2 linked regions of the Rattus norvegicus genome follow. The protein of the gene in region 1 interacts with the protein of each later gene in a biochemical or structural test. Links are inferred from orthologs where the notes say so. Each region holds a gene or a part of one and is shown in the gene's direction. Other genes may lie near its edges.

Evidence for each region.
Region 2: the proteins of Rbpj (region 1) and Spen form a complex in vitro, tested with the Homo sapiens proteins (2 studies listed by BioGRID and IntAct). The link is inferred for Rattus norvegicus from reciprocal best matches to the Homo sapiens genes RBPJ and SPEN.

What each region holds. Positions count from the first base shown.
Region 1 is NC_086032.1:61,559,582-61,563,397, reverse strand, and holds part of Rbpj (recombining binding protein suppressor of hairless), read left to right. Parts: intron 1-2,785; coding exon 2,786-2,960; intron 2,961-3,816. UniProt on the Homo sapiens protein: Transcriptional regulator that plays a central role in Notch signaling, a signaling pathway involved in cell-cell communication that regulates a broad spectrum of cell-fate determinations.
Region 2 is NC_086023.1:159,058,696-159,062,511, reverse strand, and holds part of Spen (msx2-interacting protein), read left to right. Parts: coding exon 1-1,091; intron 1,092-1,540; coding exon 1,541-2,041; intron 2,042-2,164; coding exon of another isoform or gene 2,165-2,167; coding exon 2,168-2,362; intron 2,363-2,597; coding exon 2,598-2,756; intron 2,757-3,086; coding exon 3,087-3,218; 3' UTR 3,219-3,816. UniProt on the Homo sapiens protein: May serve as a nuclear matrix platform that organizes and integrates transcriptional responses. In osteoblasts, supports transcription activation: synergizes with RUNX2 to enhance FGFR2-mediated activation of the osteocalcin FGF-responsive element (OCFRE).

The sequences.
Region 1 (3,816 bases):
GTTCAATTCCCAGCAACCACATGGTGGCTCACAACCATCTGTAATGGGATCTGATATGCCCTCTTCTGATGTGTCTGAAGAGATCAACAGTGTACTCATATACATAAAATAAGTAAATAAAGGCAGCAGCAGGAGGCAGCTTCCTGGTTGTCTTAGTTGTAAATTAGATTTCTATTGGGAAACTAATCCCTCATTTTCTGCTTCGCAGCATTGTAATACTCAGATAGTAATGAGAATGGATCTCACAGCTTCAGTTTTCTGCCACCTTACCTTCATCCTTGCTGGGAAGTAACTGCTGACACATGATAGATAGAGCATGGGTCTGGGCATAGTAGTCTTGGCTAACCGACACCAGTCCGAAAAAGTTACACAGAGAAGGCTCTGTTTACTGGCTTCCTGACAGTTTTGTGAATTTAGAAAGCAATAATAGTCAGTATACTGCTTTTGTTCAGGAGGACGGCTTATTCATTTAATATACTCACTAATTCAATATTTTCTCGTAATATTAAAGTTTTAAAAATGATTCTGATCTCAGTGACTACCCAGCATCCAAAGCATCATCCAAAAGCTATCCCTTATTTATTAGCTCTTTGTTGGCTATTTTGGTATTTTTGTTTTATATTTGACACTAGGATAAGAGTGTTGAGGGTAGTGAACTAGGAGTTAGAATTCTTAGTCACATTTAGTCATGTTTAAGAAGACCTTAAACCTAACCTTCAAGTCTGGATATTTGTCTTTAGGTCAACATTTATAGTTTTTTAGTCAATACCATATGTTGACCATGGACTTTAGATAAGGCTTGGTGCAATATTTATGACAATAGTGACAATAGTTAGTGCTTGTTGTAAAAGAGAACAGTAAACCATCTTAAATTATGACCCTTGAGCTTTAAAAAGCATGAGTTGATCTATTTTCCTGTTAAAATAACTTCTGGAGTTAAATACAGCAGATTGCATGCTTAGCCATTCAGATCTTTAATGAGTAGATGGGCAGTTAATAAAAAAAAAGCCAGGGATCTCGCTACCATTATGTCTAACTGTTGGCTGAACTAGATTTTAACCAGTTCTAGCTCTCAGTCATTCACCTTCAAGTGACGTGATCCTAAAGCCATCTAATCAATAGGGTCATTGACTGTCCCTCCCTGGATCCTGGTACTAAGCTCCTTGGGGGCTGTCTCTGCATGAAACCCTTCCTTCTGTCCAGTGTTAGACCTTATTATAGGAGTCCTGGGTGTTGATAGGGCACAAGTGCACATGTGCTGTGAGGAGGTAAAGGAAGGACTCCCTTCACCACCAAGGACCCAGGCTGTGATCTGTCCCTTCACTGAGCTACCTCACCAGCCCTTGTCCATCTGCTTTATATCTGCTAGACATACTTTCTTTCCTGATGTAGGTTATACCTAATAATGCTAGGGCTCAAAATGAACTGATCTGATCTTAGGCCTTTCCATTTCCAAGCTCAAGTTCCCTTGTTTAGATACAAATCTTAGTTTTGTCCTGTGACTGTCTGCTCTAGTACATTAACTTTATCTTATGTTCCAAAGCAGAACACTTTCAGCTTTGACCTTTAGTTAGTGCTTGGAAAATATGAGCCTAGCTATGTATGAATGTATGCCATATCTAAGTGTGTAAGTGGACCACCACTGCGAAGGACAGTTTATTGCAGTTAGCTTTTATTGCTATTGTCTTATTTTGCCTTTCAAAATTTAGAATGTTCGAGATCACATTTAAATTTTCTTTATGTAACTTTGATATAGAGACAAACTATTGTAGAACTTTTATCTATTACTAACAGTATATATTGATAAAATTTTAAGAACAAAGACCTAGAATTCACTAGCTACTTTCTAATGAGTGGTACTTGTTCTGCATTTTAAAAAAACCCATAGCAGAAGTAGTTGAAATAAAATTTAGACATCATTTATCCTGTTTGGTAAAAGAAGTCAGTATTTTGGCCCAGGCCCCTTAGTTTGTGGTGATTAAGGAAATAGGATGAGAGCTTTAGAGCTGTTACCCACAGGTAAAGTTGTAGCATTTTAAACATTTCGGCAAATGCATGTTTCCTTTTGTACCCTTAAAATAGTTCTTTAGTATATCCTTAAAGAATCCAGACTGCGGGCTGGAAAGATGGCTCAGTGGTTAAGAGCACTGGATGCTCTTCTAGAGGTCCTGAGTTCAAATCCCAGCAACCACATGGTAGCTCACAACCATCTGTAATGGAATCTGATGCCCTCTTCTGGCGTGTCTGAACACCAGTGTACTTATATATAATTAAAAAAAAAAATCCAGAATGCTTTATGCTCCCATTCAGTCTAGCACGATTTTCCTTAGTTGTAAGTGGTTACCACAGCATTCAGACATACGAACAGAAGCGTTATTATGAGCCACTTTGAAACTGTACCCAGTAGGGAGCTTTTTACGTGCTTTACTCTTACGATAGGTCTATTGCAGGTAGTCATGAGCTTTACTACAAGGATGCAGTACTTGGCTGCAGCATTGAGTGGTGATTTCTGAAACCTAGACTAAAACAAAGGAGTAAATGTGGGCCCTAGAAAGACTGTGTTGAATTCTCTGTCTGTGTGTGCGCCTGCATGCAGCTGATGGCCTCAGATCACACTGTGCATGGTTCCGAGCCACCGTGTGAGTGCAGCGGATTGAACTCAGGCCAGGACCGCTGGAGAAGTCTAAAGCATGTCTGAGCAAATGTAGCCACATCATTCTGAGCTGAAGGCGCATAAGTAACCAGCAAGGGTTTCCCGCTGTTACACTTTGCTTTTCTTCTACAGAACTACTGCACAGCCAAAACATTGTACATATCTGATTCAGACAAGAGGAAACATTTCATGTTGTCTGTAAAGATGTTCTATGGCAACAGTGATGACATCGGTGTGTTCCTTAGCAAGCGGATAAAGGTCATCTCCAAACCTTCCAAAAAGAAGCAATCATTGAAAAATGCTGACTGTACGTATGCTCACGCTTATTTGATCCCAAATCTCACATTACATGGCTGAGACAAACATTTGAAAATTTAAAGGTTGTTTTGTCAGTAACCAGTTCCTTGTTAACTACTAGTTTTTGGCCTTACTTACTATGTTTTAAATTAAAGTATGAATGGATATTGTTTGGCCTAATGAAGTGATTGATCTCAGTTATAGTGTTCTGAGAATCTCAGTAACTTCCTGAGGATTACTTTAGCATGGTTTCTTACTTACTGTTTCCAGGGGCATTTAGGGAAATGGAGGGGTTTTTGCTCTTTTTTATCAGGGTGACTAGGTAGGAAGATAATGCTTTACTCCAGTGATGCTAAATGTCCAAGAGTCCAAAAGCACAGTCCTTTGAGAGCGACAGAAGTGCCCACTTATAAACGCATTCTGGTGTGCTCTGGGGAACAAGCCGAGGGAGGAGCGAAGGTCTGCACAGCAGACACTGCTGCTTCATTGGCAAGTTACAGTTGTGTTCTGTCTGCGGTGTCTGCAGTTCAACACACGTGAGCTTGCTTGTCTGACTTTCTTCTCTTCAGTTTTTATTGAGTAAACTTTGAAGAAGGCAGCATGATGCAGCCGTCTCCCCACCCACAGTGGGTTCACTAGTTCACCGCTTCCCCTTTCTGAGTCTGCAGCGGGGGCATCAGAGCCTCAGGCATCCTGTCCTCTCACCTGGCTTCTGTAGTAGCGACGCTAATGCGTGCCTTCTGACGTCACACCTCACGTCATACCTCTCTTATTTTTTTTTTTAAATTAAGTTCTTTGATTTTGTTTGTATTAATAGTTTGTAATGCAAAGAACTTGTTGCATTTTTAGGATATTTTATGTAGATT
Region 2 (3,816 bases), on another chromosome or scaffold:
ACCTGGGGCCCACCCTCACTCCCCACCACCCCCCTGCCCTTCCCAGCAAACTGCCGGCCGAAGTGAACCATGTTCCTTCCGGACCCAGCAACCCAGCAGATCGAACCATTGCCCACTTGGCAACCACAAAACCAGATACTCATTCTCCTCGACCCACTGGGCCTACACCAGGCCCATTCCCAAGGGCCTGCCATCCCAGCAGCACGACATCCACAGCGCTTTCCACCAATGCAACTGTCATGCTGGCTGCAGGCATTCCAGTGCCACAGTTCATCTCCAGCATACACCCAGAGCAGTCTGTCATCATGCCCCCCCACAGCATCACTCAGACCGTGTCTCTCGGTCACCTGTCCCAAGGCGAGGTGAGAATGAGCACACCCACCTTGCCCAGCATCACCTACAGCATCCGGCCAGAGACCCTGCACTCTCCTCGGGCCCCTCTGCAGCCCCAACAGATAGAAGCAAGGGCCCCACAGCGTGTGAGCACGCCCCAGCCAGCCACAACTGCTGTGCCCGCGCTGGCCACACAGCACCCTCCCGAGGAAGAAGTTCACTACCACCTCCCTGTGGCTCGAGCTGCAGCCCCTGTGCAGTCAGAAGTGCTGGTCATGCAGTCCGAGTACCGGTTACACCCATACACCGTGCCCCGAGACGTCCGGATCATGGTGCATCCACATGTGACTGCTGTCAGTGAACAGCCCAGGGCCACAGAGGGCGTGGTGAAGGTGCCACCAGCCAGCAAGGCCCCCCAGCAACTGGTGAAAGAAGTGGTTAAGACTTCAGATGCCAAAGCAGTCCCAGCTCCAGCCCCCGTCCCGGTCCCTGTCCCTGTCCCGACCCCTGCCCCACCCCCTCATGGTGAGGCCCGAATTCTCACAGTCACCCCCAGCAGCCAGCTTCAGGGGCTGCCTCTGACCCCGCCTGTGGTGGTAACCCACGGGGTGCAGATTGTGCACTCCAGCGGGGAGCTGTTCCAAGAGTATAGGTATGGCGACATCCGTACCTACCACGCCCCTGCTCAGCTCACACATACTCAGTTTCCTGTCGCCTCTTCCATCAACCTACCCTCCAGGACCAAGACCTCGGCCCAGGTGAGGAAGCCAGGTTCCGGGACACTGTAGATCTCAATAAAGTAAGTTTGGGGGATAGGAGAGATGACTCAGCAGTTAAGAGCACTACTGCTCTTCCAGAGGTTCTGAGTTCAAATCCCAGCAACCACATGACGGCTCACAACCATATGTAATGGGATCCGAGGTGCTCTGCTGATGTGTCTGAAGACAGCTACAGTGTACTCAGGAACATGAAGTAAATAGACCTTAGAAAGGCAGGGGGACAGTCGAGGTGGGGAGTGGGTCAGATACTTTGTGCAAGGGCTCCTACCTGTAGGGTGAGAAGTATGTTCGGTGCTTCTTAACATGAGGTGAGCTCCACTACCCGTGAGACACAGGTGCCTCTCTCTGGGCCCACTGAGCTCTTGTTGGGAGCAGGGGCTTTTGTACAGCCAGTTCTGACTGTCCCTTTGTCTTCTTCCCAACTCCAGGGCCCCCCCGAAAGTGAGCCCTTGCAGTCTACGCAGCCTGCACAGCCTGCCCCATCTACGCAGTCCACACAGCCTGTACCACCTGCCCCACCCTGCCAGCCCTCCCAGCTCAGCCAGCCTGCCCAGCCACCAAGTGGCAAGATTCCTCAGGTCTCCCAAGAAGCCAAGGGGACACAGACAGGAGGGATAGAGCAGACTCGCCTCCCAGCCATGCCCACGAACAGGCCGTCTGAGCCACATGCTCAGGCTCAGAGGGCACCGGGGGAAACCCCCCAACCAGCCCATCCCTCCCCCGTGTCAGTCGCCATGAAGCCGGACCTCCCAACCCCTCTTGCCTCTCAGGCTGCCCCAAAGCAGCCATTGTTTGTCCCCGTAAACTCAGGCACGAGCACCCCACCCGGACTGGCTCTGCCTCATGCTGAAGCCCAGCCAGCCCCAAAGCAAGACTCTGCTCCACACGGGACACCACAAAGGCCCGTGGATATGGTCCAGCTTCTGAAGGTAAGATGGCAGAGGCTGCTCAAGACGTGCTGACCTGGTTCTAAGTGTTAACGCAGACCAGCAGGCTGCTGAGGGCCATGCTGGACAAGCCGTGACCCTGTTTCTCTTGTTTGTCCTGCTAAGCAGAAGTACCCCATCGTGTGGCAGGGCCTGCTGGCCCTCAAGAACGACACAGCTGCTGTGCAGCTCCACTTTGTCTCTGGCAACAACGTCCTGGCTCACCGCTCCCTGCCCCTCTCTGAAGGCGGCCCCCCGCTGCGGATCGCCCAAAGGATGCGACTGGAGGCCTCGCAACTGGAAGGAGTTGCCAGGAGGATGACAGTAAGTGTGGGCCGGGTAAACACCCATGCACTTCACAGGGAGGGAGGGACAAGAAGACACAGCAGCGACAACTCTGGAAGCAGACAGTGAGAGAAGCTCTGCTTGGGTAGAGACCTCAGGACCGCGAGAGCGCTCGCACGCACATGCTCTCAGGGCACACACGTGTTGTGACAGCCATCTTAGATAGAGCACCTTGGCTAGTCAGGAGATCCCTAACCATTCCCCTTTGCTGCAGGTGGAAACAGACTACTGCCTGTTGCTGGCTCTGCCCTGTGGCCGTGACCAGGAGGATGTCGTAAGCCAGACCGAGTCCCTCAAGGCTGCCTTTATCACTTACCTGCAGGCCAAGCAAGCAGCAGGGATTATCAATGTCCCCAATCCTGGCTCCAATCAGGTTGGTCCATTGTCCTATCCTACTCCCAAGTAGAACCGGTTTAGGGCAGGGCAGGAGGGCTGGTCTACCAGATAGGGTGGATATTCTCGTACTAACCAGAATACCCCAGGAGTTGCTAGAGGAGGTGGGCATGTAAGTAACATGGGTAATGGCCACCAATTGCCCATCCTGGAGAGGGGGGCTAGGGGACAGCTGAGGGAGGGGTAGTGTACACCTTGAACTGTAGAGCTGGTAACATGGCACCAAGCCCTGATGCCCTGCCTACCAGGCACAAGCGGGGTGGGAGGGTCACGGAAGATGGTGGTTCCCACTCTCTCTCTCCTTCCCCAGCCCGCCTATGTGCTGCAGATCTTCCCACCCTGTGAGTTCTCCGAGAGCCACCTCTCCCGGCTGGCCCCTGACCTCCTTGCCAGCATCTCCAACATCTCTCCCCACCTCATGATTGTCATTGCCTCAGTGTGAGGCTCTGAATGGTCGCCACCTCAGGGCGTTTTCCTGAGGCTCTGCTGCAAAAAAATAAATAAATAAATAAAATAAAATAAAAAAATGAACACAGGACAGAACCATGGACAACCCAGCCAGGCAGAGGGGAAGCTGCTGAGGGGCAGACTGCCAGGCGCCACCAGCTGCCCTCGCCCTCGTGCCCGCCCAGCTCTATGGATCGACCTCCTCTGGGGGTGGTGCTGCTTGTATGTTTACATGAAATTCTCGCCCAGGACAGACCACCGACCCATGGACTCGCAGAAACCTTAGGGGCTGGGTTTCTCTCCTCACCTGGAGAAAAGGAACCGGGCTGTGGGATTCTTCTGTTTTGTTAAACAGAATGGATCAGCCTTTGCACTAAGTTAGTGACTCGCAAGTCAACACGGGCTGCGATGCTCTGGCCGTGTACTTGAGCACGCCGTGGACTCATGCAGGACTTGGGACTTGTGCTGAAACCTTGGGGTCAGGAACATTTCATTGGGTTTTTGCCCCATCCCCTCCTCCTCCCTTACCCTGCTCATCAGACAGTCATCTTTCTTAATTCTCCTGCCGCCGCCGCCGCCGCCACCTTCAACTC